Schizosaccharomyces pombe: one gene and its partners. The protein of the gene in region 1 binds, or shares a complex with, the protein of each later gene. Each region holds a gene or a part of one and is shown in the gene's direction. Other genes may lie near its edges.

Region 1 (3,393 bases):
GAGGGCTGGTTAATGATATGTTCGTTAATGTATTGAAAAACACGATCTGCATACTGGGGTTTATAAGGGTAACACCGCAAGAAAAAATTGAGGATGCTAGAAAGTATAGAAACAATACAATCTAGTGGAAGACCACTACGAGATTGAATAACTTCAACAACATGTGACCATAAAACCTCTTGAATAGCATATTCTGGAGGAATTACTTTATCTCCAGGGCATTCTTGCTCGTCTTTTTGCTGTACTTCCTCATTAATTTTTATGTCTCCTAATTTTTCGGTTACAGTCTCAGATTCATCTTCATTAGAAGAATCAGATTCATATTCACGTTGGACATAGTCCGTAAGGCGATTCAACATAGCGACCACAAGTTGGGTTACGTTTACGCTTGGAGAAAGCTTTATGACCGTACCGAAATATGTATCGAGGGTTTGAAGATGCATATTATCAGAAAACGCCTGACAAATTACTTCAACAAGATACTCTTGTGCAAGTGAGTCCCGACATTCAATAATTTGCTCGATTATGGCAGGAAGGACATGATCTCGGTAAGTGTCTATATCGAGGTTTAACTGAGATAATCGAACCAAATTCAGCCCAACAAGAACCTTTAGCTCATTCCTTTCTTGGGTACGTTTGGAAAATTCTTTAATTGGACCAAGATGTTGGATTCTAACCCACAATTTATTCATTTCCGTAAAGTTGATAACTAAAAATTTAACAGAATCGAGTACGGTTCCTTTGCGAGATGCATCTTCCTCATCTTCTGATCCCAAAGGTAATCCTTTTCTTGTTTGGGTAAGCAGATAATGGCGCAAAAAAAGACCTCTTAACGGATGCTGAACACCTCTACACATATCTAACAAATCATTCATAATTTCACGTACAAGGGCATTAGGCGTTTCCAAATAAGCGCTTCCAACGGTTATCATGAGATATAAACGAGGGACAATACTACCGGCATATTGAACAAGTTCATAAAGGTCCATTAGGTTGTGAGTACCGTTCAGATGCGTTTCCAGCAATGTGCCCCCAAGTAAACGCAAGCTTTCCATATTAAACATATACAGCTCATAGTATTGTTTTGGAGTAAGTGCAGAATTTCTCATTTCCACGAGACTAATACTGCAATTACGAAATGCATCCATCAATCGTCCTGTCTGCAAGTTTCTTTGCATCAGCCTACTAGACTGCTTGCAAATATTTAAGGACTCTTCCAAGCTCCTTGTAATTTCTTCGTTAGCAGTATTAATTCCGTTCATAGAGCCCTAAATATCCACTTCCAAGTGTTTCAATTTAACCAACGTAATTGTAATTTCAGTATAGTTTTACTAGCGGCCCAACTTTCGAACAGAAAAACAGGATGTTTGTTATTCTTTTTAATTCACTAATATTAGCAATGTTTTTTATAATGGGTTCGTTGAAATGTCTACAAATAAAGTTGGTGGTACTGGTTGAGATATATTGGTAGATCTTGAAGTATTGCGCGCAGCACAGCTTGGAATCGCGCTTCGCTCAATTTCAAATTGACCATTTTCATATCACAAATATCGCGCCTAAATAGTATATTATTTTGATAACAATTAAAAGAAACTATAAATCTAATCATCGGAAAGGTTCACACTACAAGATTCGTCTTAGACCTCTAAACTAACGGTTTTTGAATTCTACATTCAATTGAGAATTTATTTAAGCTGCTTTTCTTTTTATTTTGTAAAAACTTTCTTGACGGATTTCTTGGTGCACCCATTTAATTGAAATGAGTATTATGAAACCGACAACTCGATTTTTTCGCTTCAATTCCCTTGAACTAGCAGTCTCACCTTTTCAAAGAATTTATGGGCAACTGGTATGTCAAGCTTATAAAAAAAATCACCGTTACTTACACAGTTATTTAGAGGTTTCTTCGTAAACAGCCAAAACCGTTTTTGGTAAAACTGTTAAACAACGAAGTTTCAAAGCTAGGAAGGCAAGGTATGCTAAATTTTTCATAATTATAATGTTCTTCATTTCAAACCTATAATAGGGAGGTAGTGGTTACATCCTTTTATTATAAGAAATGCATTCTTTTAGCCGTCGTAGGAAACTACTAACTTTACAAAAGGTGATGTCGTCTCAGTGACAAGGGGATATTATCGAAATACACTTTTCCCCAAGAAGCAAGCGATTGCTGTTGATGCCTTAAAATCTATGAAAGCACATTTGTTACAAGGGTCCGAATTCTCGACGAAAACGAAGGAATAATAATACCTAAACTCTCACTTAGTTCAATCAACATAAAAAGAATTTATTGAGTTTATTAGTGGATTAATTAAGGCTTAGCTAGCTGCAATTTGAACAATTCTAGCTTTTCATTACGAGATATTGTTACATTACTAACAAGAATTACGAAGTATTCAGCATTGACTTTTTTCTATAAAAAAATATAAAAAATTTAATTAAAAGGCTTCACTAGAAGCGTAGTCTCTTTCTGAGTTTGAATATTATCGTTATTGTAATATTTTATCAGGGTTGATGCTTAGTGTTTCTCAATTACAATAACAAGCTTTGGATTTTCCTATAATAGTATAGTTAATATGAAATTTAAATCCTTGAATGGTAAACGTTTACTGCGTATTGTGCGGCCATCGTTTCTGCTCTATCAGCTCGTCTAGCATCTTCTTCTCACAGCTACCAACTATTTTGAGTTGGATCCAAAATCATCTCATAACTCGTGTTTATTATTGCTAAAGCAGCAGAGAAAATATTTTTCATTACCTTATTCAGCTTCAATGAAAATTAATTTGTTTTTTGTGTTTCTATTTGAACTTCTGCATTTCGTGGCAGCTTATAGTTGTGAAGGAGATGAATCAGCTGCCATTGAAGCTATGAATGTCTTACAGGTACCGTATGAAAAATACAACACAGACCCAGTTTGCGCTTTTGACAATTCCACCGTTGTCGAACTTTCAGATAAAACCTGGGATCATGTCATTGAATCTGGCAAATGGTTTGTGCAGTTGACTGCTGAAGGCTGTGCTAACTGTACTCTTGGAGAGCTACTTTTTAACGTAAGTAATGGACTGCATTTAATGTTGTCCAAATGCTCTTGTTATGAGATTGAATTTTGAGCCTCGGAAATAAATTAAACCATCTTTGGATTTAATTGAATCTGTACTAACTAATTTTAGGACCTTTCGCATGCTTTTCATGAAAAATATCCGGATGTCCACTTTGCCCGTGTTTACTTGAGCAGTAGCCTCGAACTTTCTGTACGCTTACTCATTTCTCGGATTCCTTCTTATTATTTCATCGATAATCAAAATTTCTACCGTGTTTCTCCTCAGGTTCTTCCCAAGAACAAGGCAATCGCCTTATATGAAAAAGACGGGTTCAAAAGTATGAAAAAAGAGC
Region 2 (3,424 bases), on another chromosome or scaffold:
GTTTTCCACGGTAGTTTAAAGAGCGAAAAGGCATTCAGATGAACAAAAGATGCTAAGTTTTTTAGCTAAACCCGCTTATACTTTCTTATTTCTCGAGGACTTTAGCCTCTCTACTTACCTAAAAGTTTCTGTACAGTGCAATACAGGTTACTTCGTTATATTTTTTAACTGTTGACTACGCAGTTCGGTATCTGTTTAACGATACGAAAAATTGCGGTACGTTTCTCTAGCGACCTACAATATAGCGGTATGCAATATTTAACTAACAATGTATATTTATTGTTATAAGAAGTCTATTAGTATCGGTCACCGATATAGCTAATAACTGAGCTGAGGAACGAGGTTCAGTGGTAGCTCTATTTACAATCTTTCTAATAGTTTTTAGCAATTTATTTATGTATGCAGAAAAGCAATTTATCCGCATCTATCAGCAAACGAATCTTAAGTAATATCTTAGCATATGACATATAGTGATACGCAACGTACTGTATCATAGCTAGTGTAGTTCTGCTAACATTAACATGTACTTCTTTGTTTGTATTATGCATATAGCATTAACCGCGTTAAGCTAAGTTAACGTTACGAAGAGCGTACAGAAGAGATTCAGTTTAGTAACTGCGAATTGTTAATTGTTCTCATAACTTAGCCTACATCTAGTGTAAGACGACGATTGTGAAAATTCACCTTAAAAAATTCAACAAGTCTTGCAAATTATGACTTGAATAATTTTCCATTAAGAAGAATAAGCACACAATGTTTTTTGATGACAAGATAACTTGACATTCTGCCATTCATGCGGTTTCATACACATCAATTAATTTAGTGCATAAATACAATATAACAAGTTATTAAATTTTAGAAGAAGAATGAAAAAGCAATTCCTTGTACGTAAAAACTCGTCAAATTCTCGCTACCTTCGTCGAGATTGCGTTATATGTTTACAAAAAGATGGTCTTCGGGCACAGCTATCTCCATGTGGGCATGACCAGTTCGATTATTCTTGCATATGTCGCTGGATGGATCAATCCTTGACATGTCCCATCTGTAAGAGACACGTAGATTGTGTGTTTTATGGATTTCATGGGTCAAGTTTGTATAAGAAGTGGTATACTCAATCTTTGGGGTCAAATCAGTATTCGATTTCACGACAATTACTACGGCAGCCTTCATTTTCCTCCAGCGAAAACACTGACAGATTGGCCGATTTGCTACGCGTACGACGTTTCATCTATCAAAAGGCATGGAAAAGCTATGAAAATCCCTCGCTTTCATCACATAGGCAATATCAAATACCCACTCCTATCCAACTAGCTTCTAGCGCATCTTTATTAAAGAAAGTGGAAAGCTTTATTGCTAAAGAACTTCTCTTGTTTGAATATTTAGATGGACATCAAATTAACTTTATACAAATCTTTTTGATGGGTCTCTTACGAGTTCAGAATATTCAACATCCACAAACCATTGATGAATTAGCGGAATTTATAGGCCATGAAGAGTCCTCTATACTCCTCCATGAATTGCAAAGATATTTACAATTCCGTCCATTGTCGATAAGCAGCTACTTGTATAGCAAGCGATATTTGTATGGTCCGGAAGGCTTAACAATGGTTCAGCTGTTGAGTCAAATTGAAAACATTCAGCATGAATCTGGTCCTGAGACGGAAAATTCGTAATCAAGCGTTAATTGTATATTATTGCAATTTACTGTGATTCTTTGGGCTTATCAAAAATTAGTTTTATCATTGTATCGTTCATTGCCTTATTTTTTCTAATATATACAAATGGTATTTTTTGAAGCAATAGCTATTAGCTTTATCATGATTAGTAAAGGAGGTTCGTATTATGAATTGAAAAATCAATATTTAAGAAATAATAAATAAAACAACATTTTTGAAAAATAGAAATTTTGTAGGTAACAGTTACCTTACTACAGTTGCTTAGCATCCAATATTTACCCACACCTACAAGCTTGAGGAAACATTATTTGAGCAATTTTCCTACTTCTCTTTTATTAGAAACCACTGATATTGTACTGTCGCTTTAAGAGAAAAATCAGAAGGAACTGAGGATTTTATGATATAGAAATCTCAACGCGATGTCAACGTTGAATGGACAAGTATGAAATTAGTTTGACAGTTTCTTTTACTAACAATATCAGACAGCATTGGCTTACGCCAAAGTTTGGCATCATGTTTCTGCAAAAAATGTTCCTCTAGGTAGGCTGGCTTCCCAAATTGCAACTACTCTTATGGGCAAGCACAAACCCATTTATCACCCTGCAGCAGACTGTGGAGATGTCGTAGTAGTCACTGACTGTTCTGAAATTGGGATTTCTGGTCGAAAACTCGAAAATCATAAATATTATTCACATTCGGGTCAGCCTGGTCATCTTAAAGAGTGGACGATGGAAGAAATGGCTGCGAAACGGGGGCACAAGGATTTGTTGAGAAGAGCAGTTGGTGGAATGCTTCCAAGAAATAAGCTTTGGGATAGGAGAATGAAACGTCTTTATATTTACGATGGAGCTGAACACCCTTATAAGGCAAACATATTTCGTTCCTACCATAATCCTGTAAGTTCGCAAATTGCGAAGGAATTATTCTCGAAATAAGTGTTTAAAATCTCCTTTAATTTTAAAAGGTAGTTCAAAGAACAAAAGCCATATCCCTACTCACTTAAATTTCATTGATTTTTTGCATTAATGTTTGAACATTCCACAATGTCGTATGCCCTAAAAAGCTAACACATTTTAATATTGTTCTTTCCAAAAAAAATTATTTTATATAAATTAATGTTATTGTATTCACTATAAGAAGCTGTAATGTATTTAAAGACACATTTACGTTTGTGAACTGGTAAGAATGAATGTCTGGTAACCATAAGAGGACTACAACTTTTCTTGCGAGTAAAAAGTAGATAACATGAGACGTCGACATAAATAACGACATTTGGAAATTATCTCCAAAGCCAGATAAACGCGCTAAAAAGTACCCTATCGTTGTGAAGAGCAAACAAATTCAACAAACGTCAACCTAAAACCTTGCTTAGCAAAGGCCATATAAAGTAATAAAATCAAGAGCCATTAACTTAGGGAGAAGATTTTACACTTCTTATTAAACATATCTACGCTTTACATTTTAAAAGAAAAGATAGCCAATAAGGAAGAAAATCAGGCAAAGAATGATAACAATATTGGGAGGAATTCCTGGAGATTCGGTTAAAGAAGCACCAGTGGAACTCGAAGGGTCAGCTGAATAAGAGGGCTTGATTTGTTCCAAGGCGTTGTCGGAACTATGAGCACCTGCAGCAGGTTTTGCCCCTTGTAAAGATTCACGAGTTTCAGATCCGAGATTTTCAGAAACTTTTTCAACGGCAGGGGTAGATTCAGGAAGTTTAGAATCGAAATCATTCTTCTTAGTATCAA
Region 3 (3,219 bases), on another chromosome or scaffold:
GAAAGAGAACTACCTGATTCGCCTAACGGTACTAAGTTGGCAGGTTCTTTTTCTTTTTGCGGTACTTTGTAGCTAGCAACGTGATCAACACGAACCAATCTGTCAAGTAACTTTACATTCGTCATATTGTCAACGGCAAGGACTGTCGAACGTTGATCCTCATATTTTAGAAAGGCGAAGCCTTTCGATTTTCCGGTTTCTTTGTCGCGCACTAAATTAATATCCACTGGCTCGCCAAACTCAGAAAACACACATAAAATATCATCTTCGTTCAAATCAAAATCTAAGTTGCCGATGTAAATATATGCACTATCACTATAATCTTGGTGCCAAGAACTGCTAAAAGGTTTATCCAACTCTTGCTCGTTTAAACGCTCAATTTGACGAATGGAGCTACTTTTGTTAATTTTAAAATTAAAAAACGAAAACAGCGAAAAGATGAATCGGATTTTTGCTATATTTTAGCCTCAATAGAAAACTTACTTCATAACAACCTAAGGTATTTTAAATGGTAATTAAACTTTGTAACAGATTGATTTCCAAATTTTTCTTTTAAAATAAAAAAAAAGATTGACAAAAATTAACAGTTGGAGGGCAAAATGGAGAAAAACAAGTTAGCGGCGGGTTTATGGCGTAGGCTTGAATTCCGGGCTTTGTAAAAAAGAAGATAAAACACGAGAATGGGTTTGAATAAGAGGATGTCCAGCAACTCTACATAATAATGTATTAGTTTTTGTGCAATTTAAAACGCTCTTTGGGGCAATAAGGCAAAATTAACATTCAATACTTACAGTCGTAAAAAATTTTCCAAACCTTGTCTACGTTCTTCGATAACATCATCTCTAAATCTTTGAGTGAATATCTTTCCTGGAAGTGGTGGAATTGAAACACGACCGGACTCTCTTTCAAGCATATCGTGAAATTTCTCGAATTCGCTGTAACGTCGACGAACGCTAGAATTATGTAGACGAAAATAGGGCATATTGGTCTACAAAAATGAGTTAATAATCTGCTATCAGAAGATGAATTTCAGTGGTACCTACCCGACAAACAATTTCATAAGTAGTAAACATGTTTCTTCCAATACCGTGAGTTTGTGGATTTATAACCTAAAATAACATCTATTAGAAATATTTCGAAATAATAAAGTAAACATACATCAATTTCAAGGATGTTTTCAGGAACATCATACATTTGTTGAGTAGTTTGCTGCCTGATTTCCGGTCTACTTAATTTATCCATTTATTTACCCTTATTACTCTTAAGAGCGATATCCAATATTATTTTACTGTTTAACAAGTAATAGTTGAAATTTTGAAGAAGTTTAAAAGTTTCGATACAAGGTGTAGTGTCTAGCTCAGATACGGGTACGGCTAATGAGATTCATAATCGGATCGCAAATTAGTAAGGCGTTTACTGTAAACATATCGCAGAGCATTTTTTCAAACTGCGTCGTCTAAAGATGAGAATGATAGTTCATTTGCTTCCAAAAAATAAAATGGATTCACTAACGTCCAAATCCTCCTCTCACTTTCAACAAAATTAACGAGTAATACAAAATCAAATATGTAGCATACAATCCATTATGATATTTTAATATGATAAGAGCAATTGCTAGTCAATATCACATTTTTGCTTTAATGACTATTCCACAACTCCATGCATGATGAAGAATTTGATTAAAACATGTGTAACAAGCAAAACATCAGAAGGTTAAAGCAAGATAACAGGTTATGACAAACAATTTGCTTGGAATAATTTCATATTTGAATGCATCTAATCAAATCGCTTTTTTTTTAATACAAACAGTTGTTTTTATTTATATATTTTGCGATGTGTTACATACTACGATATGCCAACTAACGTCAAATACCAAATTCTAATATTACGCATAGTGTAATTTATAGTGGAAGCGAGTACGTGAATGTATGGTCAAGTACTTGAATCTTTAGCAATGATCGGACTTAAAGGTATACTCAAAGTTATCGACAATTCCGTAAGTTTAAAATATTACTATTTGTACTAATAAGATGGAAAAGGGTGCTACCTTAGCTGAGTGCATTCGTGTAGTTCGCGCGGGAAAATTCGCTTCACTTGGTAAGTAGCACGAAGTGATCTTTTGTTTATATTCGACTAACATCACCTTTTTTTAAAAAACAGGTGATGAAGTGGTAGTAGTGGTAAAAAAGGCACGAAGCGGTTCATCAGTTACTGCTGCTAATAAAGTTAAACGCGGTGATATCCACCATGCTATCATTGTTCGGACGAAATCACCAGTTCGAAGACCCGATGGTCGTTATGTTCGTTTTGATGATAATGCCTGCGTCTTGGTTAATAAGGAGTGTGAGCCTCTGGGAACCCGTATCTTGTCAGTCGTTGCCAACGAGCTCAGAACAAAACATCATACTAAAATAGCATCTCTTGCTCCACGAACCATCTGAAAAGGGTATTGTAATGTTAATATTTCACTTAATTAAAATATATTTTTTAATTTTCTATTCTACGTCTAATTAAGGGACCTTGTCTCTTCAGCAAACACTTTTTACCTGATAGCCAATTAAGATTTTGCTTTTTTGGAGTTTTGTTACTCGTAAGCATTGTGGGGTTAAAAGGTTTTTACTACACACTTTTTTAGTAAAATACAGCTGTAGCAGGCTTTATTATATAGTCCATTATCTGTTAAATATATCTGATCGATCAAAAGAATTTAATGTTCTAGTAAGAATGGATTTGCTGGCGATTGATTTGGATTTTGATGTTAGTGAGTCAAAGCTTGAACGGAATAAGCGATTAAAACAGAAAGTAAGCATTGAAACTGATGGATGGACTCCAAGAGTTCAATGTTTTGGTGTATGTTACTCATTTTTTACTCCCAATTTATTGTCTATGATTTTAACAGATTATTCAGCATCTTAGTAAAAATGGCGTCGTCCTCGGTGAAGAAGCCTATATTTTAGAGCAATCAAAATTTGCAGCGGAAGAACAATATTATCTGGGAAACTATTCCTTAGCTAAAAAGTTTGCATTTCAAGCACTTGATGTTCCAACTGATAGTTCCAGCATTGAGTACCACAGACTGAGTTCAGGCGAAATCAATGAAATTGAAGACATCATCAGAAGATGCGAAATGAAACTTGAAAATAAGCAAAGCAATTAATTAGAAAAAATTTTTGTCTTGTCAAAGAGTACCTACCCAAAACTACACACTCTGTCTAATTT
Region 4 (4,376 bases), 460 kb from region 1:
CTGTCGGAACATTGGTCGATTGGAACAAGGCCTTGGAACGTCAACGTCGTGAAGTCTTGCTTGCCCTGCAAAATTTCCATGTCATAGTTATTGCTCCTTGCAAGGAGGTCAAAGGCTATGTAAAGAAGGCAGTTGAAATGATTAAAAGAAGAGATAAAAAAGTAAAAGAACTTGAAAAAATTCAAAAAGAATTATTGGTTGTTTACGAATTGCCTGATCCTGAAACCAAAAAAAGTAAAATTAAAGCATTACAAAGCCAGCTTGTCCGTGTCAATGGTGAATTGGATGACCTTCAGAAGCATTTAACTTTGTCCTTCCCAACTCTTATTGCAAAAAGTCGTGTTTTTTTTGGACAACTTATGAAGCATTTTTACTGCTTGCAACTTCAAATGTTTCGAAAAATGCACAACATTGTTCGCCCTTGGGATTGTTTTCAAGACGATATTCCCCAAACGTGGCTCGTTGAGTTTTCCTCAGTTTGCCAGGCTGCTGAAAGCATTTCCTTAATTGCCGTAAACAACAACCGTCCTCCCGTAGAACTTCCAAAATCTGGTGATGTTTTATCAAATAGAGAGTGGGAAGCTGGAAAAATTGATGCCATGAATTCTCTCATCGCTCAGAATTTGCATACTTCAGCGTCTCAGGTAAGCCTTTCGCCTATGGCTAGTACCGCTAGCTCTTCTGTTACAAATTCTCCCGTTGACACACATACTCCTTCAACTCCAATTATGTCGCGTCCTCCATCCATGAAAGCCCTTTCTTCTGGTGTAGAGTCCCAAGATGAATCGGTTGCTAGTAGTAATTTTCAAGTTCCAATTATATCGAATCCGCTTTTTAAATCCCCTGCACCTTATTCACCAACATCCGTTATCTCCAATCATTCCTCCACCGGTAAATCCCTGGTGATTTCTGAATGGGCATACCTTGCCTCAGGAAGTGCGAATGTGGTGTTTGAGTATGTTGGTAAAAATCCTTACTTTCAAGACAAGGTAATTCGTCTTCGACGTCGAGGACAGGTTTTTACTACAGAACAAGTTTATGAATACTATCAAAATGTAATTTATCCTTTGTTTGCTGGAATGGAAAGCTTTTTAATTGAGGTTTTTTTGCAGCCAGTTACTAGGGATTTTTTGCTGGCGGCCCAAAATGCTTCTGGTATTTATTTAAATTTAAATGAGCAATACTGTTTGGTAATGAAAGATCTCAAAGATGGAATTGAAATGAAACCAAAATGGTTGACTCAGTCCCCTGCCGCTCCACCTGACTGGGTTGTTTGTCGAACGTGTGCCCTTAGCCGTATGCGTGGTAGACCCGTTGGTTTTTGTCCTCTACAGCTTGATTTCAACAATTGGCCCAAGTTTTTGTGCTGTCTTCAAGGATTTGTGAGTCCTGATATCGCAATGAGATTGTTTCAGTCTGGTATACTACGGAAGCTTCGTGACCTACAAGAGCAATACTCTCGTACTGATGTTGCGTTAGCGATGACCCTTCGAGATGTGACTTTATACATTGGTAAAGATCACATAACATTACTAGATTTAGATCCTAAAGACATGAATACCAAAATGTCTAAATGGGAACGTGATGAAAGGAATTTGATTGAAGGCGGTTGGTACTATGGTCGTGGGATGAAGTCTACTGACAAAGCATGCCGGAGCAGCATAAAGTAATTATCTCATTGTTAATTTTTTTTCTAATATGTAATACCACCATCAATTTGTGGATTTATTGCAATATTTCAATACATTATGCATTTTTGTTTTATTTGTTATATGCCTGATAATTAACAGGGAGATAAAAGCATAAAAATAAAGGGTTAGATTTATTTGTTCTCTTCAACTAACTGTTGAACACTTAATAATTCTAGAGCATTTTTTACTACGAGGTTAGTTTATTTTCTAATTATTACTAATGAAAAATTAATAAGATCCATTGAACATATTTTAGATATTTGATGAATGATCACCTAAAAGTTGTAGTTACTATACTTAACTTGCCAACCCCCATCTCACTTGCACCTTACTTCACCTCAAGTATAATTTTAAAATACAGCATGTTTCGCATCGCATCACGCCAAACAAGAAATCTGTAAGATTGTAATTATTTTTAATTAACAAATTTATACTAACTTTAAAAGACGTGCTTTATCTTCCAGTAAGAACTGGGCAAGATCGTTGGTAAACACGCGATCATTTCGAGCTGCCGCATCTGTACAAAACAATAATGCCCAAATTGGGGAAATGGTTGACAAAATAAGCTCTCTATCATTGTTAGAGACGTCTGAACTTGTAAAGCAATTAAAGGAGAAGTTAAACATTGCTGAAATAGCTCCGATGGCAGCAGTGGCTCCAGCAGTAGCTTCAGCCGCTCCTTCTGAAGAGAAAGCTCCTGAGGAAAAGAAAGAGGAAAAAACCACCTGGAATTTGAAACTCGAATCGTTTGATGCTGGTTCGAAAGCCAAGGTGATCAAAGAGGTGAAGTCTCTTTTGGGATTATCTCTTGTGGACGCAAAGAAATTCGTTGAAAGTGCTCCAAAGGTTTTGAAAGAAAATATTTTGAAAGAGGATGCTGAAGCTATAAAATCGAAGTTAGAGAAACTTTCTTGTAAAGTAGTCCTCGAATAAACTGGGTTGTTTATAAAAAATTTCATTTCTATGCTTTTCCGCCATTCAAATTCTTTGGGCAACCTTTTTGTTATTGCTTTGACATTGTGACACGATTTACTTTCTTGGATTCCCATAAAAACTAAGCTACGGAGGGAAAATTCATCATCTCTAAAAAAACCAGATATTAGGTAATGTATAAAATACTCCAAAATTATTAGTTAATTATATGTTTTTATTCTATTTGGGTTACACTCTATGTTTTCGCTCTTCGGTTCAGGAAGTTGCATGAAGACATTCATTAAACTTTTCGTATTCATCCTTTAGGGATTCCAAATCGCTTTCAGTAATTCCTTGGGTAGTGTTCCATGCAATTTCCGCTTCTAACTCTGGTTCTGAAATAGCCCAAATGTTTTCACGCATTCTTTTGTGTCGCTCTCTGTCTTCTTCAATCCTCTTAAGAATGTCGTTTTTTGAAATGGCTCCTGAAGTACTGGTATCACCTGACTTGCTCGCTTGTTCATGGGCTTCTACCGTAGCCATAGCATCTTTATATTGATTATCATCGATTACCTTCTTTTCATGCAAAGACTGGAGTACTTTTCTAACCTCTGGAGCGTTAGCAGCTCCAGCAGCTCCTATAGGAGCTACGTTCTGGACTAGCTTACAGATATCTCTACTAATCATATTAAGATATCCACCTGTAAGGCCATTTTTTAAGCACATCTCACAGAGTGTGTCCACAAAGTACATGATATTCACTCTTGTATTGAACGAACCTGACTCTAGTTCCTCCCATATACATGAATATAAGTCTTCTTCCAAGTCTAGATGCTTAATTGCAAATTGCGCGGGTTTAATTTGAGAGAATTGCGATGCATTCAATTTTCCCAAAAGCTGTAGAAATGTCATGCGGCCCTCAAATGGATCCATTTTATTATTGCAAGTATATTGGTAATTGCGAGTGCAACAACGATTTTTGTTATGATGGTTTTTCTTATACTTCGTGAACTTTGAATTCCAAAAACATCAAGAATAATTTTTTAAATAATAATAATGTGTGTTGTCTTAAATTTCAAATATAGAATAAACTTCCTTTGCCAAGTGTTCATCTATTCTTGAAGCTGCAATCTCTGAAATTTGAGACTAAAAAAAGCGTTGGGATACTATTTTGCGAAAGGACGTTGAACCTTTCCAGATTCAAATAAATTAAAATATACTCAGTGCATAAGTAATATTAAGAGGTCTTCAAACTGTTAGCATGTTGCAAAATCTGTTGCTTTAAGTAGCATGTTACTTTATTTCAAACACTATTACTGTACCTTTAAAGAAACTAAAATCTCATTTTATTAAATACTACTTTTTTAGTAATTTCAACAGCGAAATAGTAAATTTTCAAAGATATTTTTATATAGCCCTGATAAAGTTATAACCATTCACCAAACTGTTAGGATCTCTGAGTATAAATAGCGGGAAAGAATAACTACTATACTTTAATAAAAGCACAAAAACCGACCTTACTTATATGGTAAAATGAAACCCATGAATCAGTAAACAATTTTTATTTTTTTATACGCTCTACTAAGTCGTACATACAAAATCAACATTTCCTTTCAATAAAGAACTGCTTTGAAATCTAAAATGGCCAGCGACAAACTTATAAGGTTTGCCTAAAAAGTAAATATAATGGAGAAAAATACTCTCGAAAAGAGAAAAAAAATGCAGGATGTATTGTTCAAGGAGAAAAATATAACAACGGGATAATGATATAAT

Evidence for each region.
Region 2: SPOM_SPCC777.17C (region 1) and mrpl23 share a complex: the UniProt entries of both Schizosaccharomyces pombe proteins name them as parts of the mitochondrial large ribosomal subunit.
Region 3: SPOM_SPCC777.17C (region 1) and mrpl38 share a complex: the UniProt entries of both Schizosaccharomyces pombe proteins name them as parts of the mitochondrial large ribosomal subunit.
Region 4: SPOM_SPCC777.17C (region 1) and mrpl12 share a complex: the UniProt entries of both Schizosaccharomyces pombe proteins name them as parts of the mitochondrial large ribosomal subunit.

Annotation. Positions count from the first base shown.
Region 1 is NC_003421.2:1,617,425-1,620,817, reverse strand, and holds SPOM_SPCC777.17C (mitochondrial ribosomal protein subunit L9), read left to right. Parts: upstream 1-1,759; coding exon 1,760-1,849; exon of another isoform or gene 1,850-1,898; coding exon 1,899-1,974; exon of another isoform or gene 1,975-2,104; coding exon 2,105-2,244; 3' UTR 2,245-2,672; downstream 2,673-3,393. Other genes in the region: retromer complex subunit Vps35, read right to left, coding at 1-1,262; SPOM_SPCC777.12C (ER stress response thioredoxin family membrane disulfide oxidoreductase), read left to right, coding at 2,772-3,050, 3,171-3,393. UniProt on the Schizosaccharomyces pombe protein: Component of the mitochondrial ribosome (mitoribosome), a dedicated translation machinery responsible for the synthesis of mitochondrial genome-encoded proteins, including at least some of the essential transmembrane subunits of the mitochondrial respiratory chain.
Region 2 is NC_003423.3:4,217,808-4,221,231, forward strand, and holds mrpl23 (mitochondrial 54S ribosomal protein uL13m), read left to right. Parts: upstream 1-1,965; 5' UTR 1,966-2,095; coding exon 2,096-2,116; intron 2,117-2,158; coding exon 2,159-2,611; 3' UTR 2,612-2,809; downstream 2,810-3,424. Other genes in the region: mrz1 (ubiquitin-protein ligase E3), read left to right, coding at 867-1,673; scs2 (VAP family protein), read right to left, coding at 3,138-3,424. UniProt on the Schizosaccharomyces pombe protein: Component of the mitochondrial ribosome (mitoribosome), a dedicated translation machinery responsible for the synthesis of mitochondrial genome-encoded proteins, including at least some of the essential transmembrane subunits of the mitochondrial respiratory chain.
Region 3 is NC_003423.3:3,549,394-3,552,612, forward strand, and holds mrpl38 (putative mitochondrial ribosomal protein subunit L38), read left to right. Parts: upstream 1-1,950; 5' UTR 1,951-1,954; coding exon 1,955-1,996; intron 1,997-2,039; coding exon 2,040-2,097; intron 2,098-2,160; coding exon 2,161-2,441; 3' UTR 2,442-2,498; downstream 2,499-3,219. Other genes in the region: RNA-binding protein Cwf29, read right to left, coding at 1-393, 484-488; sorting nexin Snx3, read right to left, coding at 627-711, 792-988, 1,044-1,109, 1,159-1,242; SPOM_SPBC887.08 (uncharacterized protein), read left to right, coding at 2,725-2,850, 2,909-3,157. UniProt on the Schizosaccharomyces pombe protein: Component of the mitochondrial ribosome (mitoribosome), a dedicated translation machinery responsible for the synthesis of mitochondrial genome-encoded proteins, including at least some of the essential transmembrane subunits of the mitochondrial respiratory chain.
Region 4 is NC_003421.2:1,158,457-1,162,832, forward strand, and holds mrpl12 (mitochondrial 54S ribosomal protein bL12m), read left to right. Parts: upstream 1-1,999; 5' UTR 2,000-2,053; coding exon 2,054-2,088; intron 2,089-2,137; coding exon 2,138-2,624; 3' UTR 2,625-2,879; coding exon of another isoform or gene 2,880-3,536; 3' UTR 3,537-3,860; downstream 3,861-4,376. Other genes in the region: ipk1 (inositol 1,3,4,5,6-pentakisphosphate (IP5) kinase), read left to right, coding at 1-1,670; Lsk1 complex gamma subunit lsg1, read right to left, coding at 2,880-3,536. UniProt on the Schizosaccharomyces pombe protein: Component of the mitochondrial ribosome (mitoribosome), a dedicated translation machinery responsible for the synthesis of mitochondrial genome-encoded proteins, including at least some of the essential transmembrane subunits of the mitochondrial respiratory chain.